Linked DNA regions of Coturnix japonica. The protein of the gene in region 2 interacts with the protein of the main gene of each other region in a pairwise test. Links are inferred from orthologs where the notes say so. Each region holds a gene or a part of one and is shown on either strand. Other genes may lie near its edges.

Region 1 (5,229 bases), on a different chromosome or scaffold from region 2:
AGCCAAAAACTTCCTCTAGGCCATTCAAATCATCAATCAATTCAAAACATTTTTGAGTCTTGGAACACTGGCCACAGGGTCGTCATAAAGCAGGAAGGAACAACTTCAAGCCTATCAAGTTGATATATGCTTGTTCTTGGTGGTAAAAAAAAAAGTCCTAGAAAATCCAGTGAGATGCAGGACGGCTTATTAAAAGCTATTGTTTGACGAGAGGCAGATTTTGCTGGTGGAAGTGTGCATCTAAGATTCATGGAGGTAGTGACAAAGGCATGATGGGCAAGAACTGGGAATATAACCTGTGTGTTTCGGAGAAGTGCTTGTTGTAATATGATGCAGAAGCTGAATCTGCTAAGTCAGTAAGGAAGGAAGCCAGAGTATATCTAAGTGAAGGGCGCAGGTATCAGTAAAGGCTCAAAAATGATGAGCTAAAAGAAATAATCTATACTTTGACAGCTGATGTTCCTGACAAACTCTATCCAGCTCCCCCAGGAGTAGATATATGAACCCTAGTGCCTTTTCCAAAGCCCAACCTCCTAGAGGTAATTGTGATCTGCCTGAGACCTGCAGCCTGCTGCTGTTCTCAAACACATTTTTCTACTCTGCGTTAGATGCTCTAAAAAGCTTCAACAATTATACTGTTACAGACTACTTGGCACTCACCCAGCCCAAAGGTGACTGCATTTCTAGCAGTAGAGGAAACTTCAGATAAAGAAAAACATACTCACTTCAGTGAAGGCCATAAAGTGAGTTTACATTTGTTGTAGTTTTAAGTGACTTAAGCCCTAGAAGTCTGAAATAAATGTGCATGTGTTTTAATAATGAAAGTGCTGTGATTATACTCTAGTTATGAAAAATTGAGGAAAAAAATCAGGAAAAAATTAAATGAAATGAACAAGTATGGTAGTGTAACAAGCCAAGGTAAACCAAGTTCCTTTCTTCCTAGGGTTTTTTACATTCCTGAGAGAAGGAATTAAGAGACTGAGTTCTCCGTTCTGCTGTATGCTTGCCATTTTACCTCAAATTGTTGCAACATAGGCTTGTGACACAAAAGCCTAAAAATTGCTTAAGTTAATAATAAGACAGGAAAGCATGTTGATTAGTTACCTTGCTCGGTTATAGCAGAGCAGGAATTAGATATAGACTACACTTTATTTGCCTTAGCAGTTTAATCTCACTGTCTGTTGCCATGCCTAACCTGTACAGAGATGAATGAAAAGCTTTCTGATGACCTGAAATACAGCTTCCACCCCCAATGCAGTAAATCTGCAAACTGGAGCTGTGTTTCATTAGATGTACTTTAAGGGTTCTTTATTTTTCTGCCCTCATGAGTTCAGTGGACATAGAATCCGATATCTCACTATCATTTCCTAGCTAGCTGTATAAATATAGTTAAACTGCATTTACTTGGGGTTGCTGTTTAGCTGCATTTTGTTTCGTAACATGCTCGGTTATTTCCAGTCCTCCTGACTTCAGTGGGAGCCTCAAGCTCTCACTTTTGCAAATCAGGCCTGCTTGTACCTTTGCTTTGGTCACTTCTGCTGTCTCTTTGGCACTCATCCTAGGAATCAAAGTGACCTCCTTGCCATCCCCTTATGCACTATGCAGAAGCAATGGAAAACCACTGCCACTTTTTCCTAGACTGGTATCTTTGACCATGATTCAGTGACATGCAGGGATATGGGAGGAGGATTCTTCATCTGTATCCCCTGGAGCTCTCATCACCCAGATGGCCCCATTTCCTCCCCTGCAGCCCATAGAGGTGTCTGCCTCCAGACCAGCCTTGTCTTGTCATGGTCTATGGAGATCAGAGCTAGGATGGAGCAGGGAGGAGAGGGACAGGCATGTCCTTGTGGATGCGGCAGCTGGGGCTGACAGTAACCACGTATGGCTTGGTGGGTTGATCTGCCATCCCCAGGCTTCACCACAGACCAGCCTCTCCATCCCCACCTCCTCCCCCCCACCCCCTTTTCAGCTGGGAATGAAACCAGCAGCAATTACTCAAGCCAAGCACGTAAATCTGGCAGATCCCATGGCCCTCATTTGACGCAGCTACGCAGTGCAATGTCTGGACGCCCAACCCACTTCCCTCATCCCCTCTTGTTTATTTGCCCTGCAGAAAACAGCAAAGTTACCAACTTTGCCAGCAGTGAGCTGTACCAAGTGGAGAAGGAAAGCGGGGTGCCAGGGAGCAGGAAGGACAGGGGAAGAGGAACGCCAGGGACAGGGATGCCAGGGTCAGGAGTGCGAGGTGGGTTTGCCTGCATTGCATGAGGAGCTGAGCTGCCCCGACTCAAGGCTGCAGAATGCCCGGGGCCGACCCTCTGTGGTTGCGGGGATGCCCTAGGGGCTGCCGCTGGTCCGGAGAGACCCCGCGGACCAGGTGTTACATAACTCCCGTTTCCCTTGCACCAATGCCCTTCCACCAACCGGCCGGGTGGGAGACAGGCTGAAGAGCCGCTTAATTTCAAGAACCGAAGCTTGTAATTATTATTGTTTATTATTATTATTATTATTATTTCTCCCACTTTGCGCTTCGACTTGCCGAGAAACCCCGCAAAGCCCCAGCTGTTTCAGCCTGAGGTCCCGTCCCGGAAGGAGCTAGCAGCTCAGCTATGGGCTCGCTTCCCTTGCGGCAGGGCAGAGGCTGCCCGGGGCTGGCTGCCCGGGGGGGGTGCGGAGCCGCAGGGCGCTGCAGCGAACCCGCCTCCGCCTGCAGCGCGGCTCCAAGCCCGGGGCGCCGTGGCGCTGTCCGCGGTGCTGAAGACGGACGCTGTCCGCTGTGCTGACGGACGCTGTCCGCGGTGCTGAACCGCCTCCCGTTCCCGCAGAGCCGCAGTACTCCCTGCTGACCTCCCCCCCGGCCTCCGTCCGCGGTGCCGAAGCGCCGCCGCAGCCCTGCGCGGTGCGGTGCGGTGCGGGAAGGGCGCTGCAGTGCCCTGGGCGGCTGCAGCCCTGCGCGACCCAGCAGAGCAGAGAGCCCCGCAGCACCCTGCTCCCAGTACAGGTTAGAAATGCGCTGCTTGCCCTTCTCCTCGGGCTCCCTGCCGCCTTCGATCGTGCCCGATACAGCGGAAACACAGAGCTCGGTTCCCTCCCATGGTTCCAGCCGGCGATAAGGCTGGCGGCGGCATTACCCCCCCTCTCCTCGACTTCCTCCATCCCTGTAGCAGCCCAGAGACAGGAGACAAAACGCCGAGCGCGTCCCCCTTTAAACAAATCCTTTTTTCGCTTCATTTTCGTTCATACAGCCCCCTCCCCTTGCTCAGTCGGTGGCCCGGTGGTCTCCCGCCCTTACCTCGGCTTGTGCAGCGCTCCGCCGGGCCGCCTCGGCGGGGTTGGTGTCTCGGTGCCGCAGCTGGGAGGCAAGGACAGCCGCTGCTGACCTCCTCGGGTCTCCTTCTTCAATGGACCGAGAGCCGTGCCCTCATCAAAGATGGCCGTCCGCTCCTACGTCAGCAGCTTTTAATAGCCCTCCCCGGAGGGGGGGGGGGAATGGGGGAGGCGGGAGCGGGCGGGGGGCAGAGCGGGCCGGGCGGGCGGGCTTGAGTCATCACCGCCGCCGCCGCCTCCCGCTCCGATCTCCTCGCCCCGCCGACAAACGGCCCCGCCGGGCCTCCTCCGAGCCTGGGGGCCGGGGGCTGAACCGCCCGGGGAGGGGGGAAGGGGCCTCCTGCAGCAACATGCCTCCGCCAAAGGGGTGGTCCGAAGAGGGTATCCCTCTGAAGTCCCCGGTACTCCATATATGGCCAATCTACGTGGGCTTCTATTTTTATGTGTGAATTCTTCCTTCTCTCCCTCTTTTTATGTTTCAGAGCATCCTGCCACGGGTCTGAGTGTGTTAATCTGATTATTCCCCTTCTCCTCCCCCCTGAAATAAGAGCACACAAACGCAAGGAAATCCACAGATAAGGACATGTGCTATAACCGATCATTTGAGAGACAGGTTTAGAAAAGGGAGAGAGAAGGGGGGAAAAAAAAAGCCCTCACAAAAAACCCAGGCATGTACGTGCATACATACAGCACAGAGAGAACAGACCGCTGCTGCCAAGGAGGAAAGCAGTGACTCTGTTCTGGGAAAAAGCCTGGCTTATTTATCATGGATTAATTAAAATATTTATTCAGAGCTTACCTAATTTGGAGCAAATGGAGCTGTCTGTAGTGTGATATTTAATGGAGAGGAAATCCTCTCATTTGTTACAAAACATCTTTCTGTAAAAGGTATCTCTTAACGGAGATTTTAATGAAGGATGGGGATTGCATCTGAAATGCGACACTCTTTCATAACCTCAGTTATCCCTTCCCTTTCATTCCACAAGCCTGCGCACGTTCGTGTATGGAACCATCCAGACCTACCCATGAGCAGAGGTGCCTCCGTCTGAGCCTCTCTTGTGAGCAGTCACTGAGCACTGGCTATGCTTAACTCTGACACTGTGCTAATGGCTTTTCTAAATAGTCTGCAGATGACGGTGTCAAAACATCAGTCTCATATTAGTGATAATTCTACCCTAATCATTATGTCTTTTTTTCCCTTATTGCCATGGCAGGGAAGACCGGAAGAGGGGGAAGGCTCTGCAGCTGTATTTTGGAGCACGTTTGTCTCATGTTGTGGTTGTATGGGGGTGGAGGAGAGAAAGGGGAGGGGAGGTGCGGGGGGGGGGAAGGAGAAAGAACTGCGGTGATTCCTCCTCCCCTGCTCTGTAGTTCCCCATAGAAAAACGTGATTGTAGATCGTGCTTTGCAATTCTCACCCTCTCCTACGAAAATATGTCCTTCAGTCTCGTTTGGAAGGAAGCAGTCAAAAGTTTGCTAAATATACAACAAAGGAATTCTCAGGGAAGAGGGGCTTCCTGCTGCAGTAGAGTATCTGATGAGCTGTGCACACAAAAACCGCAGGGAAGGAGAGAACCTGTCAGACTTAAGGGCTGTAAAGGCAGACAAGTAGAGAGAGATCAACGCTGTGCAGACAGCCCCCCTTCTAGGTGAGGGATCTGGATCAGCACCTTGAGCAGGACCTGGATTTAGCATCATAAATGACAGTATGGAAAGGCAAACCTTTTCTGCTCAACTCATATATGGGTTAACAGTAGCCAGCACTCCAATTAGGTATGCACTGCAGAAAGCAAGAGGAATCCCAGCGTGTGTCTCGGTCTGAAATTCAGGCAGTCCATGCGCATGCATTGTGCTTTGCAAGTTCTTAGTACACACAGAAAGTTAAGAAGAAATTTTCAG
Region 2 (5,128 bases):
GATGAGTCTTACAAATAAATTTTAGAACAGATAAAGCATGATAGAATCACAGAACCATAGAGTGGCTCGGTTGGAAGGGGCCTCAAAGTCCACACCTCTACAATACTTGCTGTGGGCAGGGCTGCCCCCCACCAGCTCAGGCTGCCCAGGGCCCCATCCAACCTGGCCATGAGCGTCTGCAGGGAAGGGGCACCACAGCTTTTATGGGCAGCTGTGCCAATGCCTCAACTGTTACCCTATAACACATTGTCTCAATGTCATCGACAACAGTGCAGCAAATGGTGGGGACTGAGATGTACTGCAGAAGGCAACGGATGATGTGTTAGCCCAGCAGTAGATGGGGAGCTTGCCACCCAGCTGAAAGGAATACAGCTTGAGTAGCTCAGATAAAGGCAGCACAAGGGGAAATAAAACTGCTGCAGGGATACCAGGAACCTCGCACATAACAAGAATCACAAGTTGGGTTTTTTCCCTCCTCTCCCAGCTCCTCTAGCACACATTGCTCTAGACAAAGAAGAACCTTTTTGCAAACAGCTTTCTTCAGGTTCCGTGGGGAAGGAAAGCACAGACAGACACGGAGACAGCCCGGCATCACATTCGCACACACCACCTGGGCCCACCACAGTCATTTCTGTCACAACCAAGCGCCCTTCACAGAATCACAGAATCACAGAATGACCCGGGTTGGAAGGGAGACCTCAAGGATCATGTAGTTCCAACCCCCCTGCCTGGCAGGGCCACCAAACATACACATTTACTAGATCAGGTTGCCGCCAGGGCCCCGTCCAACCTGGTCTTGAACACCTCCAAGGACGGGGCATCCACAACCTCCTTGGGCAAGCCTGTTCCAGGCCTAACCACTCTCCTAGTGAAGAACTCCCACTAAACATCCAACCCTAAAGTCTTCCCTCTTTAACTTAAAACCATTTCCCCGTGTCCTGCTATTGTCCCTCTCCGGGTACCCGCCCCTCGGGCCGCCCAACACCCCCGGTATCCCATCAGTATCTCCACACGGCTCCCACACCAGCCCCCCAGACCAGCACAGCCGGGTCTCCAGCCCCACCCGCAGCTGCTGCCCGTCAGACACAGCCGCTCCCTCCCGCTCCCGCCGCCCAGCCGCCCGTTGCCATGACAAACCGTCGCTTCCGCCGCGCTCCCACCTCGGCACCCTCTGGAGAGCGCGGGTCACGCCCTCACGCTCCGCCCCGCCGCAGCGAGCAGCTTCGCGATTGGACGCTCGGCGTGAAAGCGGGAACACGATTGGCTAGGTTAGCCGTCACTCACCTCCGGCGGGGAGAAGGCGTGGGCCGTAGCTCTGCTCACGCTGCAGCCAGCAGCGAGGAGAACGAGGCGGCGCTGAACTGATCCCGCAGCACAAAGCCGCGCCTCCCCGCCCCTCTCCCCGCCCCTCGGGTGCGTCCCACCGCAGCCGTGTGGGGAACGGGCCCAGCCGCCCTCGTCCCCGTCTCCCCTCGCCTCACACCGACCCCCTGGGCGCGGAGGCGGAGTCTGCGCGGCGCTCGCAGCCCTTGATAGTGGGCGCCCTCCTGCCCGTCACGGGGCCGCGGCCGCGCGTCACTACGGCGGCTGCGAGGGCGAGCGCCGTGCGGGCTCCTCCCCTCAGCGCCCGGCAGACGGCGGCTGAGGAGGCAGCGGGAGGGGATGGTGCGCCTGGCGGAGGCGGTGGCGGGCGCCGCTCCGGCTCCTCCATCCCCCCCGCCGTCGCCATGGGTGTGAGCGGGGCCCGGCGGCCCGCGCAGATATGAGGTACGGGCTGAGGGGGGTGGGACCGCCTCGCTTCCAGCCGCCGGTTCTCGCTCCGTCGCGGTGGGGTCGGCGTTGCCCCCGGCCCCGCGGCGCCTCCGCCCGATGCGGCCGGGCTGACACGCGCCTCGCTGCCCCCTTCGTCCTCCGTGTCCCCCGCGCGGTGCCTGGAGCCCACCGAGCGGCCGCTGCCCGCCGGCTTCTCTCTATCTATCTTTTTTTCCTCTCTTTTATTTTTAAAATTTATTTATTTATTTTATTTATGTTTTATTTGTTCTCCCCGCTGCGGCGGTGTCTGGGCGTTGGGAAGCGGGGCGATGCGGTGCCGGTTGGCGTGTGCGCGGCTCGGTCATACGGCAGCCATCGCGCCTCGCTTTGCAGGGGGGGCCGGGGGCAGCGTCTCTCTGCTCACGAAGAGGGACTGCGGGGGGAGCACGGCGCTGCTCCGTCCATCGTTTCTGGTTGCCGCCGGTAACTTTCCGGGTTGGTTTTCCTTTTGTTCTGATTCAGCCTCTCCGTTATTTGGGATGGAACGGTGATTCGGCTCGTGTTTTGAACTCGGCTTTCCCCGTGGGGCGTGGGTGTTGTGATAAGGAAACCGGTTCTATGGATGTGAGTAAGGGAGCGTTTGTTGAATGAATACTTTTTTTTCCCGTTAAAAGAAGTGGTATCCCGAATGTGACGGTGCGGTGCTCCTTAGGGCAAGGAAACAGCATGTTCTCCTATGCCATTCTTTCCCCCATTGGATGTCAGGAAAAGGTTCTTCACCAAAGGTGAAGGGCTGTGGGCACGACCCCGAGTGCAGGAGTTGAAGGAGCATTTGGACAAAGCTTTCAGATGTAGGGTTTGATTTTGGGTGGTGCTGTGTGGAGCCCACAGTTTGACTCAGTGGTCCTGAGAAGGGCCACGAAGATGATCAGGGGGCTGAAGCACCTCCCCTATGAGGACAGGCTGAGGGAGTTGGGTTTGTTCAGCCTGGAGAAGAGAAGGTTGCGGGGTGACCTCATTGCAGCCTTTCAATACCTGAAGGGAACTTACACCCAGGAGGGGAGTAAACTCTTCGAAAGGGCTGATAATAGCAGGACACGGGGAAATGGATCCAAGTTGTAGGAGTTGATTTAGGTTGGATGTTAGGGGGAAGATCTTCACTAGGAGAGTGGTCAGGTCCTGGAACAGGCTGCCCAGGGAGGTTGTGGATGCCCCGTCCTTGGAGGTGTTCAAGGCCAGGTTGGACGGGGCCCTGGGCAACCTGATCTAGTAAATGTGTATGTTTGGTGGCCCTGCCAGGCAGGGGGGTTGGAACTACATGATCCTTGAGGTCCCTTCCAACCCGGGTCATTCTGTGATTCTGTGATATGGGTCCCTTCTAATTCAGGATCCTGTCCCATAGCTGTAAGGTACGTTGCTTGTTCATATCTCCTATGGCAATATATGCTTAAGGTGATAGTTAAGTATTTTAACACAAAAGTATTTCAAGGAAACCTCCAGATACGTGCAATTTCTCCTCAGTCAAATAAACAAACTCTTGGTGTCCATATTGATGGCTCTGGAGAGTATCGGACTGTGCAGTGATGTTGCACACTTGGCCCTAATCTTTTCTTCTGCCCTTTCTTTCTAGTCACCTGTAACCTCTCTCAATGCTTACAACCTGATGCTGTATATAGCGTAGTGAGCTTTGGTTACCGAGTTCTTTCCATTGTGAAATGCGTGTGCTGCTGTTCCCAAGCCCCCATTAGGAGGGTATGATATTGAAGGAGGAGCCTTATATCAGCTATATTCAGGCTCCCAGCTGCAGCAGCCAGGGGTGTATTTGTCTTTGGTGGGGGGTGGGGGGGGGTAAGATGTGCTGTAAGGAAACTGGTTGCCTTCTTTGCATTAACTTTACATTTAATCTAGACGGTCATCCACATTTAGGCAATCAGCTTGGACCATTGGAGCTCGCGTGATTAGCACTTGTATGCCCTGACTGCTTTTGGCAGCCTTACAGGGGTCATGTTTCGTACAGATGAACTGTTTCCGAACAGTTTCTCCAGTGTGTTCGTTAGGCTCAGGCTTCATCTGAACCGAGCTGGTTGCTCTTTGCACTTGCTCCTTCTCAAACCACGAATTAAATTCTTGCAGTTCTGCTGTTCCCACTGTAATATCTGGAACCGGAGACAGTAAGATAAGTTGGTTTTTTTAGAAGAGTTTTGGTTTTTTTCTTTAATTTTCCTTTGTATCCCAGTTTGGTGGAATCACAGAATGACCCGGGTTGGAAGGGACCTCAAGGATCATGTAGTTCCAACCGCCCTGCCTGGCAGGGCCACCAAACATACACATTTACTAGATCAGGTTGCCCAGGGAATGACTATTGAGATACAGTAAAGCAAGAGCCGGTGTCTCCAAATAAACCAGTGACCCTCAGTGCCTGTTCTGTCTGCTGCTGTTGTAGTTATAGCTGGTGGGAAATGTGCATACTTGCTTGTTAATACCTCTAATCACGCAATTAGCTTAGATTTGGGTTCAGGAAAGAATGTGAATCTAGCAAGTAAATCACTGTGAATGGTGATGACAAATCTACCTTTGTGCTGTAAGCATAGATTGTAATTTTAGCTTTCGGTAGGATAACACCAGGAAAAATAAGCATTTCTGCCCGGGTTCGAATCCCCCTGTGGCACAAGTGGTAGAAGTGCCGCTCTGCTACACAGAGGCTCGAATCCCGGGGATTGGACTCGATGATCTCTAAGGTCCCTTCCAACCCGCACGAGACTGTGATACTGTGATAGAAGAGGTTAAAAACCAAAGAATTTAAATGAAAGTCTCGACAGTGGTTTGAGGAGAGGGAAGAGGATAATCATCGGGAGTTACCAGCATAAAACAAGTGCTTGTGTTGCCTTTAGTAATGGGGGGAGGAGAATAAACCTTCAGCGGGAGGATTTGTTTGTAGTATGTATTTCAGGCAGGGATGTCTCTGAAATTAATCTGCATGGAAGCAAAGAGACTAGAACTTTTTACCATTAAAATAAAGCCAAAACAGCCCGTAGTTGGCCAGGAACATTAAGCGCTTGTTGCTATTGTACTTAATGCAGCTGCTGAACTTGAAATGGCCCCTACGCCCAGAGTTGGTTTTGTTTTTACTTGCATAGCATGAAATTGGCTGGTAGAGTAGACAATTAGAACTTCGGGCTAGTCTGAGGTCTAATGATGCACTATTTGTATGCATAAAACTCTCCTATGAGGTGCCAACATTTCAGTGTGGTATATGTGCCAGAAGTAGTTGCCTTGCCTTAAAGAGCACTCTGAAATTAAAGCATAGTATGCAGGACACCACTGATTGTTGCTGAATGACATTGTTGCTGTAGGTATGTCCTGATATACTGCAGTT
Region 3 (5,157 bases), on a different chromosome or scaffold from region 2:
AGAGGAAAACTCAATGAATCCTTGCCTAGATTCAATACAGTTACTACACTGGCACAACAGTTAAGAAGTTGAAACCTCTATGTTACACATCAGCACAAGTTACTGCAGCCTACACTCAAAGCCAGCCTGCAAGGCTAAGAAAAACACCACCCAAAACAAACAAACAACACAAACAGACACACAAAAACCCAACCCCCATTTTCAAAGCTGAATGAAATGAGCTGAATGATTGTCATTGAAATACTACCAATACAGGGACAAAACATCATGTAGAAAGGTAATGGAAGTTTCTTGTATACAAAGATTGAAGGAAGAAGCTACACAGGCTACTCTCGCAAAATTATTTACATCAGGTAGAAGACACTGAAAATACACATTAAGTCAGATTCACATTGCAAGCCAGATTATGAGCATACTAGCTCTCAAATAGCATAGGCAATTCTTTCAGAAACAGGAATACAGAAAGGTAGGAATATATTGCATGATTTCCAAGCACAGTGAAGTGTTTCTGTAGACAGTCTGCCAATGAGGCAAGTTAAGAAGGCTAAAATCAGCATTAGCATCTGTCTTCCAATTACAGTCACAAATGACATACTGCCCAGCAACAAATGATGTCTGCTGTCTTATATTAAGATGGTTGTTTTCAAATTATCCCAAGCTATGTCACTGGGAAAGGCAAAAGAACTGGAAATATGCCCAGAGAAACCTGGTGCATCAGCAGCCTAAGGGAACCATTTAAAAAGTCATTTGGTCTCATCTCATGAGATCTTAGCTATGATAAATGAATACAGAAAGGAAGAGGAGAACAGAAGATATGCCCTATTCCTTAGTGAAAGTTATAACTATCTATTCCTGATGCTCCTGTTGTCAGAAAGTATTCATTTCACCTTATCTTGCACTGGGACACAGCATATGCAGACTATTCTTCAAATAACATAAAACACAAATAAGATAACAGAACAACAATAAAAAGGGACAAGTACAACTCACCTAAAAATAATAAAAAATTATGATAGAAAACAACATTCCCTATTAGCGATTGTATCATATACAAAATAATGCTAATCCCTGGTAGGATTTGCTGCCACAAAATCCTCTGCAGACACTAAAAAGAACACAGGCAAATAAAAGAGACAGGAAAGAAATGACTGCCCTTCATTCTGAGATTGACTGAGAAATAAGGTTGTGCCTTTCATACGGTGAGAGCCAAAACAGGCCTTCAAGTCAATAGCCTCATAGCAAAAACAGGTTATTTCCTCAGATGCCATAACCAAATCACACAGGCATGAGAACTTTGAAGTTCATCCACTTGTGATGCAAGTGGAAGGGAAGGGTGAAAGTGGGAGAGATGCAGGGACTGTGCTCAGCACTGGTGTAACACCATTTTCAAGAGCCATGCTCTGGGAGCATGAGCCAACAGTAAAAGCACACCCCAGCAGACAAAGTCACCACAAAGAGAAAGGTGCCAACAAACGCTGCCACAAGTTAACAAACGGGTAGGCGTCTCATCCTGACCTATGGTGAGGGAGAAAAATCTCTCTCTCTCGTTACCATGGAGATCCCTTTTTCAGGTTTCTTTGGATGAGCCTCGTGCACGAGTGCAAAATTTGGAATAAGAGGAGAACAAGTATTAATTCCGTGTCCCCAGCAAGAACAGCCTTCTTAAATCTTGAGAGATAATACAACAGAGGATGTAAAAATTAAGTTTGGTTACAGAGGTTAAGGGCTGAATAAACTATCTCATGCTCCAGTGCCTTGAGCTCCATCTTCTTAAAACGGCAATGCCCTCTGAGGTCGTTGCGCCTATCTTCTACAGCTTGGGTGGAAACTTGAGTTACCGGCTGGGATGAGCCTGGAGTGAGATCTGCAACAAAACGAGAACACAGCACGGAGGCTGCTTACTACTGCCTTTCGACTCTGGGTTTTACTAGGTCATTCATTATTCATGCTTTTCTTTTTGTATTTCCATGTGGCAACACTGCTAGCTAAAGCTACACTGAGAGGCACCACCTACCTCTACAGGAAAGTCAGCATGGCAACATCTAACAGAGATCATACTGATACGCATGCAAGCATTAACTCCCTAAGAAACAGACCAGAATAAGCTCCTAAGCACATATATTCAATGTAGGCAGCTCTAGTGAGAGGAAGAAAGACAGCTTTAGTTCAGAAGGATACATACAGCAGAACACTGTTGTACCCTACACTGTGAAAATAACTGATGACCTCCCTAATTAGCAGCACACATTGCTCCCATTCATTTTCATTACCTTGCAATATCTACTTTCAATAGTTCTGAAATACATATTATCGGACAGACAGGTAGGCTACACAAAAGAAAATAAGGAACTCTGTCGATCACATTTTAAATACAACAACTCATAATTGTTATTACTATCAACACATTTCTCTCAGAATATCACTTGGGCTTTTGGATCCATTGTCATTATTCAGATGAGGGAACACCAACCAAACCCAGCTCTTTTAGGAGAGGGGGAAATACCACAAGTGCCTCCCCATACCGGCTCAAATTAGCGTTGCCTTTTTAAAGGTGCATTAATATTGAAATACAATCCAACATAACCAGCAGAGCGCACGCCGTGCCTACAAGCCCACCTACCTTGTGTGTATAAGTAGGCTAAAAGGTTAAACAACTCTTTTATATAATTAACTCCACAGATGAGCAACATTTCTCACCGTTTTTGCCTCTATTACTTTTTATTATTTATTTTTGCTTTCTATCCTTAACACGACGTTTATGTATCTCTAACAGGTGTACAAAACAACCTGAATGAAATGGGATTACCCAAAATCAATCATGTACAACACTGAAGTACTTCCTGTTAAATATTAATCACTCCATAAATTTTCTCCCAGCTCTCGCACCAACATCAACTGCTACAAAAACGGGCATGCTACAACACTTTCCTTGCCGGCATCCCGAGCTGGCTGCAATAAGAATGACACCAAAAAGACGCAATTATATAACAGACCTTGCTAAACGCCTCATTTCTCGGAGGGACTGAGGATAGAGGGGTTGCTCGTGTCCCCATCCCCACGCTCCCCTTTCAGCGCACGGAGAGCAGTACCCAGGGGAGGCCGGAGCTCCCAAGGGAGAGCTTTAACCCCTCCTGGGCTGCTGTCGCTGCTGTCACCGCCTCTCTCGGCCACTAAACGCCCACACCTGCGCCTCAATACTTCCGCGGGCTGGCGGCTCTGCGCTAAGCACCCACTGGGCTGCCCGTCGCCTCGGGAGTGCCGGCTGAGGCACGGCAGTGGCCCAGCTTTAAGGCCGACCGTTCTCCTCCTCCCTGCCATCCTCACGGAGGCAGTCCGACACCGTGGGCTCCTTCACGCCGCCCCCATCCCTTCCCCTCTCGACATGGAGAGAGCCCGCTGAACGGAAGCCAGATTGTAGCTGCTGCAGCCCGGCTTCGGGCAAGCCTCGCGGTTCTTTGGCCAGAGCTGACCCGCACAGCACCGCATCTCGGCTTGGCTAGAGGTGGGGAGAAAAGGGGCAAAAATTCACTCTGCTTCTCCTGCCAAGGAGGGACACGGGACAAACGGCCGCAACAACAGGCGGCAAGTAGTTGTGCAGCCCGTCCGGCGCCCGGGGACCCTGGGGCACGGAGCCCGTATCCCGCGGGTCGCCGCAGGCAGCGCTGAGTGCCCTCGCCTCGCTCCCCCTCCGGGACCAGGAGAAGGATCGCCCCTATTGGGGCTACCCCCGGCGTCCGCCGATATCCCCGCAGTAAGGATAGTGGGAGAAAAGCCCCACGACGAGAGGCCAGCTAGAAATTACTCTGTTGAATGATGCAGCAAACGGAGGGGGGGGGGCGGGGGGAGAAATCGGTGTAGGGCTCGTGCTCCGTCGCCACTCTCCAGCCCTGATTAATAATGCACGGGTTCCCTGCCGAAGCGAAAAGAGCTCTCTCTCCTCCGCGCACCCGGCGATTAATAGCAACCTTCATCCCGCGCAACCTTTCGCTCGGCACTCCCCCACACTGCCAGGCTGAGGTGGCAAGCGCTCAGGAGCAAAGCAGAGGCAACCTTTACCTCCACGTCCGGGGGGGAAGTGAAAGGGGGGGCTGGGGAAGCGACACCTCTCGCAGCCAACGCGATCCCCCGGGAGGAGAGTCCCGGGGAGCGGCAGCCGCCGGCTCGGCAGGAGGGCAGCCTGCTGCCTGGGAGCGGAGCCGCGCAGCGCGCTGCCAGGGAAGCGATCACCCATCGCTATTGTCGGCAAACAGCACTCACGCACGCAAGCATTTACCTTTTTTCTGCCCGCCGTCCTTTAGTCAAGCGTTTGTGGGAAGGAAGGAGAGAAGGAAGGAAAAGGAGAAGAAAGACAGGGAGAGGGACGCAGGCGGCTGCTAATCCCTGTGTAGAAAGACTTCCAGCAGCGGCGGCAGCAGTAGCGTGTATCTGTGTGTGTGTGTGTGTATGCGTGCCAGGAGTGGAAGCACAGCCCTCCTGGCGATGCAACGGCTCTCGCGCCGAAGTACTGTCATGTGCGAGTCTCGGTGTGTATACCCATGGAAAAAAAAGAGACGGGGGGAGACTAATCAGCCACATACCCGGCTGTGCACGGCTTGGGGGGGAGAGGAGGAGGAGCCCAGCGCTCCCCAGCCCAACCACCGGAGGAGCCGCTCGCTACTACGGCGGCCGGGCACCGCGAGCCGCCAGCGTGCTGCCTCGCGGCCCCGCAACAGCTGCTCTTCGCTCCCGCTTTCCCCTCCCGATCTCAAGGACGCGCCTTCAGAAAAGACTCCTCTGGCCATTTATTCTAGGGGACTTCATTGCACCCTTGTCGGAGAGGCACCTCGGGAGAGCAACTGAGAAAACGAACAACAACAGCAAAAAACAAAACAAAAAATCCCACCAATTCTTCCTCCCCCCCCTAAAAAACAACACTGTAACTCTATGTTTCTGCCAAAAAAAAAAAAAAAATAATGCTGCCCAAGGAGCTCCTTCGGCCCTCACGGCGTCCCTCGGGGGCGGCTCTGCGACGCTTCCCAAGGGATCGGCCAGCGCGCTGCCCGCCGCGTAATGCCGCACGGCGCTGCCCGGGGCCGCCCGGGAGCGGAGGGAGCCGCCCGCAGCGTCTTGGCCTTGCGAGAGCGGGGAGTATGGAGAGCGGGTGGGAGAGGGCTGGCA
Region 4 (4,617 bases), about 51 Mb from region 2:
AAAAGAATTATTTGATACAAAGATTTTTCTTTCTCCTGTGTCTCTTTTCTGATCTCCTTGATTTTTGATCCTCTTAGAACAAAAAGCAACGAATGATGGTACGAGCGGCTGTACTGAAGATGAAAGACCCAAAGCAGATCATCCGGGACATGGAAAAATTGGATGAGATGGGTGAGTAAGGGAGGTATTGGGTGTTGGAGATAGTAGTCAAACACTGAGTAATGATTATATTAGTGACTTTTGGTCTTAACATTGCAGACTTACTGGAAATACGAACTGCAAGTGGTTTGGTTTGAAGTTGTTTCGTTAATTTTAATTGTAAAGTAGAGTAACTTTTGAGTTTTTGGCTTGCTTTTGCTGTCTTCGATTAGAGTTTAACCCAGTGCAGCAGCCACAGCTTAATGAAAAGGTGCTAAAGGATAAACGCAAAAAGCTCCGTGAGACTTTTGAGCGTATCTTACGGCTCTATGAGAAGGAGAATCCTGACATCTATAAAGAACTGCGCAAGTTGGAAGTGGAGTATGAGCAGAAGAGAGCACAACTCAGCCAGTATTTTGATGCTGTCAAGGTAATGCTTGTAGTATTGAGGCTTGTGACTGTACTATGTACTCCTCTTTAGGTGCAACAGTTTGAAAAGAAAGGCCTTTATAAGGGACCAGTAAATATTTAGTTAATATTAGGCACACGTACTAGGTTGCTTAGTAACTCCAGATGGTGTGGAGGATGAGAAGTCTGTATTTCTCTCTCTTAAATTGATTTAATTTATCAATAGATTAAAGGGAAAAGGGAAAACTGATCAGATCAACATCAGAATCTGTTTTGTGAATTAAGGAGAGAGAGAACATATGAATGTGCGGTTAGCATTCCTGCTAAATCTGGATCTGGAAATAGTTATTTGGCATTTATTTGAGGACCTTTCTGCATAATTCTTCCTGTATGGAAGAATATAATGTTACACAAGTGCAAGTATTTAAAATCTTCTGGAACATGCAGAGCCTGTGATTTAAGCTTTTTGGGTTCTCAGGAGGTGTAGGCAGACTTGTCTGCAGTTTTGTTGTTTCGGGGACAGAACAGACCTTTGGCAAGTGATGGCATGTCCCATGTGTCAGGTGTTCTTAAAGATAGTGAGACTGTGTAGTAACTTCTGTGGAAGTGACTCAGTTTTTATTTTTGCCTTTTCCTCTCCCAGAACGCTCAGCATGTTGAAGTGGAAAGTATCCCTTTACCTGACATGCCTCATGCTCCCTCCAACATCCTTATACAAGACATTCCCCTTCCTGGGGCCCAGCCACCTTCTATCCTCAAGAAAACATCAGCCTATGGGTAAGAGGGAAAGGATGCTTGGAGGGGAAAGGAAAACAGGAAATGTTTTTTTACTAGGAAAGAGCTGGGGTTGGAAGCAGAGGTAATATTGAGTAGCAGAAATTGGAAGTTCTGTGAGTGTGAATTGGTTTGTTGTGTGTTTTTTGGTTTTTTTTTTGATTTAAGTGAAAAACCTTAATCTTTCCTTCCTGTTACAGTTTTTGTTTAAACTGATTTGGGTTGTATTTTGTACCTTCTAGCACTTGTCTTTCTGTTTATTGGTCAAACTTAAAGCCCTGCTGTGTTGTTTGAACATAAATGCCCCCTAAACTGTCACGTGGCTTTTTTTGGTTTTTTGTCTTGTTAATACATTCAGTTTAAACTCCTACTTTATTTGTGTATCTGGCTCCTCAAGCTAGTATTAGCTAGTATTAGCACTTCCTATGCAAAAATATATATTTTTTTCTGAGTAGTTTGATTTCACCAACTTGCTGTATAAGCTGTTTGTATTTGTTTGTGACTTCCCTGGTTTCCATTTTCTGTCTTAATTGCAGACCACCGGTTCGATCTATTTCTATGCTTCCCCCTCCTGGGCTTGGTGTTCCACGTTTACCTCCTGGCAGGAAGCCCCCAGGACCTCCTCCAGGGCCACCCCCACCACAAGTCCTACAGATGTATGGCCGTAAAGTGGGTTTTGCTTTGGAGATGGCTCCTCGAAGGCGAGAGGAAGACGTTTCTTATGGTTCTGAACCAGGCAAGGACTTTCCTATCTCTTTCTGGGTTCTTTCTTGCTGTTGATAGTACTGCTGTGAGCACTGTGCGCTCTAGATAAGGTATCGTCTGGGTAATCTGAATGTTTTTACTAGAAGAACTCTTTGTGTGATTTGCAATCTTGAGCTCATTTTGATATATTTCGTAACATCTGCCATTTTGTTATTGAGTCTATTTCTAAATGCTGTATCTTTTATTTACAGCTTGCAGATTTCATTATGTTGCATAAACTGTTTTCCTACGTTGTCTTAGCAAGGCAGAAATGTGTTTTACTCTCTTTTTAAGGAGACAATATGTATATTTGCAGAGAATTAATCTTTCCCCCCACCTTGCTATAAAACGCAGGAAAACAAACAAAAGTCCTAGCACCAAAACTGGGGATACATTTTCAAACAGTTACTGTATTTTCCATACAAGCTTCTATGAATGGGTAGATCAGCCTTACTGCATACCTAAAAGGACTGAAATATTTCTAGAGGGGGAAGTTGTATATTGCAGTTCCCTTCACTTATTTACTGCCAGTTAATCAACTGTTAATAGGAAATCTTACCAGCATTCTCCCCAGAATACTCCTTAAGAGTGTGCTAAATAGCAAAGGATTGACAATACATTGCTCACTCTGTTGCTAGGAAGATTCTTCTTACTGTGAACTTAAAATATTCTGCCTTTCCCACCAGTGTGCTTGGAGTTCATGTCTGTCTTAATACTTTGCTTTTCACAGGACAGCGAGGGCATGATGATGATATGTCCAGTACAAGTGAGGATGAAGGCTATCCTGAGGATATGGATCAAGACAAGCATGATGAGAGTAGTGATGATAGTGACAGTGATAGGTCAGATGCAGACAGTGAAGGTGATGACTTCCCACATCGTGATAATGACAAGGAGAGGGAAGGCGGAGAAGAAAAGAAATCAGGTATGATGGGGATTTACAGGTTGGACTTTTGAGTTTTCAGAGGAAAAGTACTACTGAACAGTCTTTGTTTTCCTTACTGTGGGGAAGGGAGAAAAAAGTAGTCTGTTTAGACAAGGAATTCTGTTTTGGCTCGTTGAAATTCCAGCTGAAGAATTATTTATTGATGAATATATTTATTGATGAATGTGAAGTATCTGAATGTGCAAGATTTGTCACCTGAAGCCTTGAAAGAGCAAAAGATCCCACAACAAATTAAGCCTTACTCTAAAATATACTCATTCTTTGGTGACTTGAATAGTACTTCTGTGATGGGTGCACTATTAATGCTTTTGAATGATGTCTCTTGATTGTTTAAAAGAAGTCCAATTGACAGAAAATCCTAGGTTACCAAAAACATTGGGAAGAAGACGGCTCTTAATGATGCCCCTAAATAAGAGTTATGTCATAATGATGTATTTTCTGTACCAAGTGAAAGACTTCCATGTGTATTTCATGTGTACATTCATCTTAATGTTTTCATATATTATATAAATATGTATCTTATTTTTATATTCACTGATTTATTCTGTTCCCACTGCCCATTTTTTTTTGTTTGTGCTTTGCTTTCCCCAGGTCATAGCGTACGGTTTGCAGACATGCCTGGGAAATCACGGAAGAAGAAAAAGAACATGAAAGAACTGACTCCACTCCAGGCCATGATGTTACGAATGGCAGGTCGGTGATATGGATACACTGAGAGGAAGCATGCTATTAGATTTGCAGATGAGGTTTCTCTGGTGAACTTAATTTGCACAGTCTGTTTTGTAGAAGTAAATGCATTACTGCCATACTTGAAAATCTACTAAGAATGTACGTAAGATGTGGTTAGTTTTAATTTAGATTATTATTTTTAGCCTAGTGCGCTCAGACTGTTATCTGCAGGGTTTAATACTTCCTAAAAATATCCTTCTGAAGAAAGGTATTAACCGATGGAGTCAAGACTTTTCATTTTAAATCGATACAAAGACAACACTTGTATCTTTTTTGGGGTGGAGGGGAGAGGAGAAAGGAAGCTGGGAGAAGATGGGTTTCTTGGAAGTGGTGGTTATGTCTATTTTGGGGAATAAATAATCTGTGATATTTTCTATTTTAAAAGTTTTATCTCCCACAAACTCAAATAACTGCAGTTCAGATTTATTAATAGAAGTTTTAGTTCCCACAGGAAAGCAGAACTATCTAGTTGTTTTTTTTTTTTGCATTTTGTGTATATTAATTAGTATAATCAGTTTTCATTCCTTTGAGGGGAATTTCTTTTCATTCTTATTTAGTGTTTTATGTTGCCAAATTTATTACTTGTGGACTGATTTTATTAACGTGTCTGTTTCCAGGTCAGGAAATCCCAGAAGAAGGGAGGGAAGTGGAAGAATATTCAGAAGAAGAGGAGGAGGATGAAGAAGACTCAGAGTCTGAAGACACATCGCAACAGCAGCAGCAGCAGCAGCAACATAGTGAGGAAGCTCTTGCAGAGACTGGGTCGTCTACTGCAGCCTCAACACAGCAGCAATCTTCGCAAGCCGTTGCTTCAAGTCAGATACAGGCACCTCCTATGCCTGGGCCACCTCCACTAGGACCACCTCCAGCCCCTCCAT
Region 5 (5,189 bases), on a different chromosome or scaffold from region 2:
GTGATCTAGATTATTATCTTTTCCACAAACAGTTCAGTTCTGTTTAATAGACTATGCAATTGTCCATGGTATTATCTTCCAGAATATCTTACCTGGAAATTACTCTGTTAATCTGACTTGAAAGTAATAACATCCTCAGGAATTTCACAGTCACTGAGATGAATCTGTAAATACAGCAAATAACTAGTTTGTAGGAAAGTATTTAGTAATCTCACAAATAAACATGCAAAAACATTCAACTGACAAGAAACTACACTGGTGTCTGTAAGTATTAAATAATACTGAGAGCATTAAAAGTTTGCTATCCCTCTGAAATGCAATTTCTTACTCTCTCACTAAGCTCTCAGAGTTGAAGGAAAAAAACAGCATATTTTTTCCATTTCTGGAAAAACCCGTCTTTCTCAAAATGCCAGACCACCTCATTAGTGGAAGCCTTGGTTAGCTTATAGATAGCTGGCAGAGGTGTTTTGTTGTGCTTGTTTCCACTTCATTTTTTCCCCCCACCATTATGAGTAAGTAGAAGTAAAAGCACAGTTTTCATTGCCTGTAATGGGAGCAGAATGTGCTTTTATTTCATAGTCATTTTCCATTCTTCTCCTGGCAGTACCTGGAAAATCACGTGAAGAGAGATGCGACTGTGAGGTAACTTGGTGGTGAAGGCTCCAGAAGCCAACACTAAATGCAGATAACATATTTTTGACTAACAGTGCACATTTACAGCCTCTGACCAGAAATTAAAGAGTACTGTTATATGGAGAAGTCATTAACTGATATTTAAAGCTGGGAAATAGAGGAAGTATGAGGAAACCGAAAATGTAAGGCCTATATTTAACATCTCTTAACTTCAAACTGACCAACTAATGGGGCAAAGCCTTGAAGTTCATTTATAGTGGAAGAAATGAACATGAGACCTACGTGATTAATGCATCTTCTCCTTGAATGTAAGGCTTACGTTAGAAGAAAGCCATGCTGCTTTTGCAGTGTTTCAGAACTGCTGAAGCCAGATCATGTCCTCTCCAGATTCTGGATTAACCAAGGTTCAGACTATACAGCAGAACAGGTCCACAAAAACTTCAAGGCTTTTTTACCAACAGATTTAACTTGTGTCATGGTTAGAAACAGAGTTCATAACTAGTTAGGCTTGAATAGTTATCACAGGTAATGATGCATGGGAAGGAAAACATGCAGTGCTGGGAACATAATTTTCAGGGTCAACTTCAGAAAGCCATACAGTTTTATCTATAGAATCAGCAGAGAAGCAAGCATGCAGCCTGGCATATAAAGGTCATATTGAAGCCACTCTTCAGACATCTCCCTAGCTGGGTGTTGCTGAGCCTGGAGCTGAGCTGTGGCTTCTGCAGCCACCGGCAGGAATAGGGTGCTCTGCCTCCAGGCGGGGCCCACACAACTCTGGCAGATGCCAAGGGAGCAGAAGGCATTGACACCAGCACAAGGGTCCTCAAGATCTTCCAAGAACGAAGGCAGAGAGAGTAAAATAGAAGTAGCTGAGAGATGATACAGCTGCTTTGCAGAGTACAGCCACAACAGGAGCTGTAATCAGAGAGAAAACAGCGTGCCTGTCTGAAATGCTATTTCTGCTTTATTGTGTAAATACAGGAACTATGACTTCATGTCTCACACTTCAAGAGACATACTCTCAGGCTTGTTTTCTTCCATATCTGAGCTCTAAGACATGCAAAATGTGTCTCTGTATTTCAGTTCTGGCTGGAGGTTAATCTCTAGAAACAAGTAATGTAACATTTCCATCTATCTTTTCTATTCTTTTGGCGGTTTTAATTACACTAATATACTATGACACTTTAAACAAGACACATCTCAGCTTATGGCCTGCTCTGCAATGGTTCAGCTGCTGTGTGTGCTCCAGCACATTTTGCTCAGACAGGCTGCTGCAGGCTGGGGGTGCAGAATAGTGCCCTTCTGTCATGAGAGATTTCATTGCACTGATCATTGTGTATTTGACAGACTCTTTGTCAATGTCAAGTGTCTTTTGTGGTTAAGCCCAGTAAAGCTAAAACAAAAGGTCTCCTAGATATTAGATATATAGTGACATTACTGAATTCACTCGGAGGCAGTAATTTTTTGTCAGCCTCTGAAAAGAAAAATGGAGCTAATGGGAAAACAAAAGGAAGATGCTGGCATGTCTTTTTAGCTATTTTTGTTTATGTCAGACAGTGTGATTGACATCTGGCCCAGAACACCCTTTCAACCACCGAGGCTGATGTCATGAAACAGAACAAAGAGAAACTGCCAGGCAAGAAAACACTAATGGCTCAGAAAGCACTTTTTTGGGTTTATTTTCTTTTAAGTGTTTCATTTTCAGTAATCAGTATCACTGCACAAAAGTGCACTCATAGGCACCCCCTCTTACTATTTGGACTTCTAAGTTTCCTTTGTGTTTGCTTTCTTCCTTCTTGCCTGAATGGCACCACAGTTCTGGTTTGGTTGGTTGACAGTCTGTCATAACAGTGATGTTTGAGGTTAGTGAAAACTGACATGAAAAATACAATCCACTGGCCTTTAACTGAAATAGCAGCTCTGTTTTTTTGTGGAGTTGGCAGGCAGCATTTTTAAACCCCTTTCACGGTGAAGGCAGTTACAACATGTTTTTCTCTGTATCAAGCAGTTCCATCATGAAGTGCATTATCTACATCTGTTGTCATATCAGGATACTGCCTTTGAAGAGCAGTTTACTGTTTCTTGTGAGATCACTTCTGCTGAAGCACCCTAAGAGGGTTAAGGAAATTTCATGGTCATTCTCCATTGCCAGGCCCATTACAACGCTTTAACATTTATTTAAGAGAGTTTTAGAAGTGTCAGTGACCAGAACAGCTCCTGCAGACACACAACACCACAGAGACTTCTGCATTTGCTCGCCACTTTGTCAAAATAGGAAGAATCCCAGTGTCCCTCTAATATTGTCTAGAGTCATTATATACATTATAAGCATAATGTTCGCATTCTGCAAGTGCTGTAGATTTTGATGTACTTAGTCAGCGTTATGTGCTAGCAGGAGGAAATTATTCTCTAAATTTTTAACTTTGTCTTGAAAGTATGATGCTAAACATAAACCAAATGACTACGAAAAAAAAAAAAAAGCAACAATAAAACATAAAAGAAAGCTTTTGGCAAGACAAGAGCAGGACATTTTATCAGCTATTTAGGTACAGTTACATTCTGAAATCATTGGAGAATTCTTAACAAAAGAGATCTTAATCACTTTAAAAGATTCCAAGGAATTTGGCCTTTGAATGCATCAGGTGTGCTGCAGCTAAATATCCCTGCACCTTTTTAATAGGGTTTACTCCAGTATTTAATGCAGAGCTATATTCTCCTCTAGAAGCACACACTTAACTCCCCCCAGCACTAATAACAGATATGTTCACACATCGAGTGGAGAATTTTCTCTCTGTCTTTGCACAGTGTTCTAAAAAGAACTTTGAAGAAATTGAGAAAAACAGAAAGAGAAGTATATTAATTTTAAGGAGATGAAAGCACCACATGTCATTCCTAAATTTCATGGAAAATGCTCCGTTAGTAACAAAGATGAGCAGAAAATTTCAAAATCATTTTGAGCAGCATTAAAATCAGTCCTCCCTGATTTTCTGTTTTCCCCTTCTTTTCAAAGCACATACATTAAACTCATTTTATGCTTATAATGTATATAATGATTCCAGACAACATGAGAAGGACATTGGGATTCTTCCTATTTCGACGTATAAAGTGGCAAGCCAATTTATGCAGCTTAAACCATTGCTAAGGAAGATGTATCAAAAAATGCCTGTGATCATTACAAATAACAGCCTGAAATGTTCACAAGAAGCTGTTTGCTTATCATATTTTCATTAAAACATCTTTTCACCTGCTTTGCTTTTCCCATGCCTGTAACCTGCATTGTAATCAGTCTTATTAACTGAGAACATAAATATGATTTATTATAGTCTGATAATGGAAGCTGCATGGACCAAGAGAAGGGATATATTGTCCTTTGATAAAATGGCTCTTTTCTCTCAAATAGAGCTCTATCATGAGAGCATGCAGAATGTAGTGAGTGATTATTTCCTGAGGGTGAATGATGGCAGAACCCTACAGAAAATCTTCTTGTTGGCCATGACAGCCTCCGAGTGTCCCCAAATCTCACTGAGTTTGACAACCTGCAGACACTTTTGATGAACTGTATTCTTCTGTCAGAGACAGCCTGTCTGGGAGGAGAAAAGGGAACCTTTATCGTCTGATCTGCTATTATTGTCTTGATCTTTTATAAGCAATCTCTAATGCACATGAATATAATATCCTTTCACACAAGTGCCAAACATAATAGAAATGTAGTTTAAGGACCTTTTTCCCAGTTATGTAAATGTCCTAGTGCCATAATTATAAAAGATGGTTTGTGAATGATAGCTGTAAGGAAAGGATAATGAAAATGTTTTAACATTATCTTTCTGTTTTAAAGACCAAAACCTGTGATAAATAGCATTTATGGTACATATGGGGAACCAGTTTGTGCTGAAGCTTTTACCTAAAAAAGAATAGTTTTGAGCATAAAACTGGTGTTATATTTTCATAAAACACATAAATGGCAGCTGATCTTAAGCCAAGAATGATCACTGGCAGATATGACTTAAAGAAAATGAGTATTCCACTCAAAATCCTTCCATGGCTGTTACAGACAGAACAAAGCGTTATTATTGAGCAGTGTATTTGGACAAAGGGGTGTTCAGGACCAACTAAAGTTCACCAACAAATCTCTCTTTTATCTATGTCCAGAAGAACAGGCATAACAGAATCTTTTTCAATTAACAGCTGTACACATTAGCAAAACACCCGTCTTTCTCAGCTGAAGCGGTCTGGCTTATTTATCACAAAAACAGAAATGTTTGGTGGGAAGCTTTCCAAGTTTCCCAGTAAAGGCAAGATACTTGATTTTCATTAACCTTTTGAAATCTGGAGGTGGGGCGTCCCCCTATTAACTACTAATGGTCTTTTGCATTACCAATTGGTGTTAAGAGAAGTCCCAATTGTCAGAGTCAAAAGGTTAATCAGCAATTTCACAACAGTGATGTGGTCAGTTTGCACGTTACTGCCTGAACAGGAGGAAGAAGTAAATAAAGCCACTAGCACATTACCACATCCCAATATGATTATTCTATTGTATTTTCATATTTGGATTT
Region 6 (4,617 bases), on a different chromosome or scaffold from region 2:
TGCAGAGGAACAAGCAGGTGGCAATGGGCAGGAAGAAGTTCAACATGGATCCCAAGAAGGTACTGGGGGCTGGCATCAGGCTCTGCAGGGGGTGCTGCATACCATGGTCTGGGTACTGAGCCGAGCAGAGCCAGGAGAAGGGAATAGCATAAAGGTTGGAAGCGTGACCCGAATCAATGCCTCTTGCTTTGCTTCAGGGCATCCAGTTCCTGATTGAGAACGACTTGCTGAAGAACACGTGTGAGGATATTGCTCAGTTCCTCTACAAGGGAGAGGGCCTCAACAAGACAGCCATTGGAGACTACCTGGGTGAGAGGTACGCAAGGCCTGGAGCAACTCGGTCCCTGTGCAGGAGGAGATGGTGCAACCCTTGCAGGTTGCTGCTGGGCTGGGCTGGCTCCAGGGCCCCCAGCAGGACATCAGGCTCTGGGTCTTCAAGTGGCTGCGCCAGCCCCTTGCTGAGTGCCAGGGTCTGTGGCTGGGCTCTTGGAAAGGCTGCTGCGTGCAAACCTGGCCATAGGATGGCCCATAGCCATAGGTTCCCTATCCTGAGTGCAGAGAGCAGAGCGGGGCAGGGGGCCATGCGGCAGTCACAGGACGGGCTGATCACACACACCTCGTGCTCTGGCTTTGTTTCTGCAGGGACGAGTTTAACATCCAAGTCCTGCACGCCTTCGTGGAGCTGCATGAGTTCACGGACCTCAACCTCGTCCAGGCATTGCGGTGAGCCGGGGGCTGAGTGGGGCTGGGCTGGGCTGTGAGCTGTGTGCCCTGCAGGGCCCTGAGGGCTGGAGGATGCAACCAAAGCAGTGCTGTGCCTGCTGTCCTCAGGCAGTTCCTGTGGAGCTTTCGGCTGCCGGGAGAGGCACAGAAGATCGATCGGATGATGGAGGCCTTCGCACAGCGGTACTGCCAGTGCAACCCTGGCGTCTTCCAGTCCACAGGTGAGCACAGCTCCAGCCCTGTGCCCTGCTCTGTGCCCTGCCTTGCACCTGACTGTCCTCTCTGTCCCCGCAGACACCTGCTATGTGCTCTCCTTCGCTATCATCATGCTGAACACCAGCCTGCACAACCCCAACGTCAAGGACAAACCCACAGCAGAGCGATTCATCGCCATGAACCGTGGCATCAACGATGGGGGGGACCTGCCTGAGGAGCTGCTGCGGGTAAGGGATGGGATGCAAGGATTCAGGGCTGGGGCACAGCGGGCTCACAGAGGTGACACCGTGTGTGGTTGTACCAGAATCTCTATGAGAGCATCAAGAATGAACCCTTCAAAATCCCAGAGGATGATGGCAATGACCTCACACACACCTTCTTCAACCCTGACCGGGAGGGCTGGCTGCTGAAGCTGGGTAAGTGCTGGCAACCAGATGGGTGCAGCCTGGGCAGGGTGTGCTCTGCCCCAGGGTCTGGGCTGAGCCATGGGTATGATGCCCACAGACTGCCTGCACGTGGCTCTGTGGAGCACAGCCCTGCCAAGAGATGAGGGGCTGCAGCCATGAGCACAGCCCGCATGGACAGTGTCCGTACCTCTGTCCCTCCATCGGCCTCGCATTGAGCAGCAGGAGCAGAGCTGCTATTGGAGAGGCCCTTTGCTGCAGCCACGTGGGCTCCCAGTGGGATTCTGCCTGGAGGCTGCTGTGCTGAGCTGGTACCTGGCTCTGGTGTCAGATCACAGAGCTGGGGGTGCTCTGCACAGCGCTGGGACACAGCAGGGTCCCATCAGAGCCCCAAGGAGTGAATGGCGAGCTGCCCCCGGGCTGCGTGTCCCCCTCCATGCCTCAGAGCTGTCCCTGCCTCACCTTCCCACAGCATTATCACCTCCGCATCCCGGCTCCACATGCAGGCAGCGTGCATGGCATCCCTGCTGCACAGCCCGGCACTCGCAGACACGAGCCTGCCCTGCCCCACACCCTGCCCCACACCCTGCCCCACACCCTGCCCCACACCCTGGCTCCTGCAGCTTCTCATCTCGACACCTCCTGGGGACCTCTGCCCGGGTTGAGGAGGGGGGGTGCTGGCAGGAGCAGGGGCTGCAGGGCCTTTCCCTGGGCTCTTGCTGAGGTTGGGGCTCTGTCCTCTCACTGGGGGGAGTTTTTGCTCTGTTGCCACCCCTGCGAGATGGGATCAGGACCTTATCCCTTTCCTTGCAATGACCAACACAGAGCCCTGCCTGGGCACTGAACAAGGTGTTCCCTAGCTGTGGGGTGGGGGTGTGAAGGGCCATGAAGAACCCTATACCCCTGCCTTTGTGTCCCCATAGAGCCCGGAGCTCTGCTGGTAGAAGGGTCCCATAGCATGAGGGTGGGGGCTGCTCAGAGCCAAGGACACCGATAGTGTAGCAGAGCGGTGCCGTGGCCCATCCCCTCAAAGCTCCCCATCTGCAGCCCTGTCCCGCTGACACACACGGCTCTGTGCGGGGTGAGGGGGGTTCTTCGGGATTTCCTCTTTTTTTTTTATTTTATTTATTTTATTTTTTCCTTTTTGTTTTAATTTTCTTTTCTCCCTCATTTGTATGTTTCCATGATTTTGGCTCTTCCTTTCCTTGTCCCCCAACTCCAGGAGGTACGTACCCCTATCCCCTGTACCCCTTTTATCCCCTGCTCTGCTCATGCCTCTGGGGGCTTCGTTTCTTTTTCGTTTTTAATCGCTGGCGATTAGTCTCATTGCTGCTGCTGCTAACCACCGCACCGCCCGGGGGGACCTTGCCTGCAGGGGACAGCCCCGCACCCGCAGCCACCAGGGCAGGGACGTGGCTGCTGGTCCCTCCGATGCCGAATGCTCCCCGAGGTGTCCTGGTTCCCTCTGCTGCCCTCGGTCCCATCATAGGGACAATTGGTACTGGTGTGTCCTCAGACCCATCCGCAGAGGGTCGTGGCCTCCAGTACCGTGAGGGATGGGGCTTGGATTGTGGTGTTTCAGGGCATTCAGGAAGGACCTGCAGCTGGCTGGGTGCAGGGCGCTGTGCAGTGCTGCAGCTCATGGCTGTGCTGGTGCTGGGCACAAGTGCTGCCCTGGCTCAGCATGTGGGCACACTCTGGGCAGCCTCAGGGCTGTGCTGGCTCTCAATGCCACACGGTTCCTCCTCCAGAGCCCTGCCATGTTGTCACCTGGTGAGGCTGTAGCCTGCAATGAGGGCTTGGTGGGGGCTGGAGGGCATCAAGTCTCCTTGGGTTGTGGGGTGGGCTCGGCTCAAGGTGAGCAGGAGCAGGGGGGCTTTGCTGGGAAATGCCGGCCCTGCCTGGCTGTGGGGCAGGGAATGGGGTGTGCAGCCTTTCCCAGGAGCGGGCACTGACTGTGGCTGGGTTAATGGGTGGGCAGTGGGGTGGGATGGGGGGGGATATGAGGCAGGGATCTCCCTGCAGAGCCGGACAGGGAGAGAGGAAATGAGCACATTCCCCTCGTTGCACACATTGCTTCTTTGTGGGCAGCATGGCCTGGGCACCCATACAGCAGCACTGAGCAGAGCAGCTGGTGCTTGGAGCGTGTGGGGGTGCGGGGGCAGAGCCAGGCCCAGCACTGCAGCACTCTGAGCCTGGGGGGGAGCAATGTGCAATGGCAGTGCTGGGTGTAGAGCTCCCTCCAGCCACTGTTCGCATGCTGCAGCACCGAGCTCTGCTTTGCCTTGGCATCGGGCTGTGCTGCAGGGCTGGAGCTGCAGCTCCTTCTGCCGCACATCAGTGCTTGTAAGCGGGCACGGCAGTGCTCCCATCCCTGCCCTCCCACCTCCCTCTGCCTCCATCCTCATCCGTCTGCTTTCCGCTCATGCTCTCGCCCTGCCGGCGTGCTGTGTGCTGCCTGCTGCTCTGCGCTGCGGGCTGCCTGCATCTGCTTGTCTGTGTGCGTCCGCCTGGGCTGCAGCACTGCCGTGCCGTGCCGTGCCATGCTGTGCCATGCAGCAGCACCAGGGCTGCCCCCAACCGCCTCTCTCTGCTCCCAGGAGGAAGGGTGAAGACGTGGAAGCGGCGCTGGTTCATCCTGACCGACAACTGCCTTTACTACTTCGAATACACGACGGTCAGTGATTTACATGGGGGCTGGGGACCCTCGGGGGTCCCATGGCCGTGTGGGATGCAGACGTAGCACAGAGTGCTGGGAGCACTCAGCCCTTCCTATGGGGCACTGGTTGGAGGTGTCTGTAATGACAAGCTCTGCTTGGCCCCATCAGGATAAAGAGCCACGTGGCATCATCCCCTTGGAGAACCTGAGCATCCGTGAGGTGGAGGACTCCAAGAAACCCGTGAGTGCCCGGCAGGATCCTGCAAGGCTGGAGGGTGGGATAGGGAAAGCCAGAGGGCCCCACTGTGGTGGCAGGACACAGCTGTGGGGTGATGTCACAGCATGGCCCCATCCTGCTGTGCTGGGTGTGCAGCCCCACTGCTCTGCACCATCCTCCCCCAGCCCAGGGTGCCCCACTGCACTTGGTGTGGGGGCTGTGTCTGAAGGGGTTCCTCCCTGCAGAACTGCTTTGAGCTCTACATCCCTGACAACAAGGACCAGGTGATCAAAGCGTGCAAAACGGAGGCAGACGGGCGGGTAGTGGAGGGGAACCACACCGTGTACCGCATCTCAGCCCCCACACCTGAGGAGAAGGAGGAGTGGATCAAGTGCATC

The links.
Region 1: the proteins of ITSN1 (region 2) and SNAP25 interact in a two-hybrid assay, tested with the Homo sapiens proteins (2 studies listed by BioGRID and IntAct). The link is inferred for Coturnix japonica from reciprocal best matches to the Homo sapiens genes ITSN1 and SNAP25.
Region 3: the proteins of ITSN1 (region 2) and DLGAP1 interact in a two-hybrid assay, tested with the Homo sapiens proteins (2 studies listed by BioGRID and IntAct). The link is inferred for Coturnix japonica from reciprocal best matches to the Homo sapiens genes ITSN1 and DLGAP1.
Region 4: the proteins of ITSN1 (region 2) and WBP11 interact in a two-hybrid assay, tested with the Homo sapiens proteins (2 studies listed by BioGRID and IntAct). The link is inferred for Coturnix japonica from reciprocal best matches to the Homo sapiens genes ITSN1 and WBP11.
Region 5: the proteins of ITSN1 (region 2) and LMO4 interact in binary tests that used the Homo sapiens proteins (3 or more experiments, as listed by UniProt). The link is inferred for Coturnix japonica from reciprocal best matches to the Homo sapiens genes ITSN1 and LMO4.
Region 6: the proteins of ITSN1 (region 2) and CYTH1 interact in a two-hybrid assay, tested with the Homo sapiens proteins (2 studies listed by BioGRID and IntAct). The link is inferred for Coturnix japonica from reciprocal best matches to the Homo sapiens genes ITSN1 and CYTH1.

The regions. Positions count from the first base shown.
Region 1 is NC_029518.1:11,888,688-11,893,916, forward strand, and holds the start of SNAP25 (synaptosomal-associated protein 25), read right to left. Parts: upstream 3,457-5,229; 5' UTR 3,296-3,456; intron 1-3,295.
Region 2 is NC_029516.1:94,850,466-94,855,593, forward strand, and holds the start of ITSN1 (intersectin-1), read left to right. Parts: upstream 1-1,574; 5' UTR 1,575-1,767; intron 1,768-5,128. UniProt on the Homo sapiens protein: Adapter protein that provides a link between the endocytic membrane traffic and the actin assembly machinery. Acts as a guanine nucleotide exchange factor (GEF) for CDC42, and thereby stimulates actin nucleation mediated by WASL and the ARP2/3 complex.
Region 3 is NC_029517.1:90,584,999-90,590,155, reverse strand, and holds the start of DLGAP1 (disks large-associated protein 1), read right to left. Parts: upstream 3,180-5,157; 5' UTR 2,994-3,179; intron 1-2,993. UniProt on the Homo sapiens protein: Part of the postsynaptic scaffold in neuronal cells.
Region 4 is NC_029516.1:43,746,978-43,751,594, forward strand, and holds part of WBP11 (WW domain-binding protein 11), read left to right. Parts: intron 1-77; coding exon 78-171; intron 172-371; coding exon 372-568; intron 569-1,189; coding exon 1,190-1,323; intron 1,324-1,856; coding exon 1,857-2,056; intron 2,057-2,794; coding exon 2,795-2,989; intron 2,990-3,601; coding exon 3,602-3,703; intron 3,704-4,356; coding exon 4,357-4,617. UniProt on the Homo sapiens protein: Activates pre-mRNA splicing. May inhibit PP1 phosphatase activity.
Region 5 is NC_029523.1:13,757,911-13,763,099, forward strand, and holds the start of LMO4 (LIM domain transcription factor LMO4), read right to left. Parts: upstream 3,081-5,189; 5' UTR 93-3,080; intron 1-92. UniProt on the Homo sapiens protein: Transcription cofactor. Plays a role in establishing motor neuron identity, in concert with MNX1, acting, at least in part, to disrupt LDB1-LHX3 complexes thereby negatively modulating interneuron genes in motor neurons.
Region 6 is NC_029533.1:4,591,586-4,596,202, reverse strand, and holds part of CYTH1 (cytohesin-1), read left to right. Parts: coding exon 1-59; intron 60-197; coding exon 198-316; intron 317-642; coding exon 643-723; intron 724-831; coding exon 832-944; intron 945-1,017; coding exon 1,018-1,166; intron 1,167-1,243; coding exon 1,244-1,355; coding exon of another isoform or gene 1,356-1,356; intron 1,357-3,941; coding exon of another isoform or gene 3,942-3,943; coding exon 3,944-4,020; intron 4,021-4,171; coding exon 4,172-4,243; intron 4,244-4,464; coding exon 4,465-4,617. UniProt on the Homo sapiens protein: Promotes guanine-nucleotide exchange on ARF1, ARF5 and ARF6. Promotes the activation of ARF factors through replacement of GDP with GTP.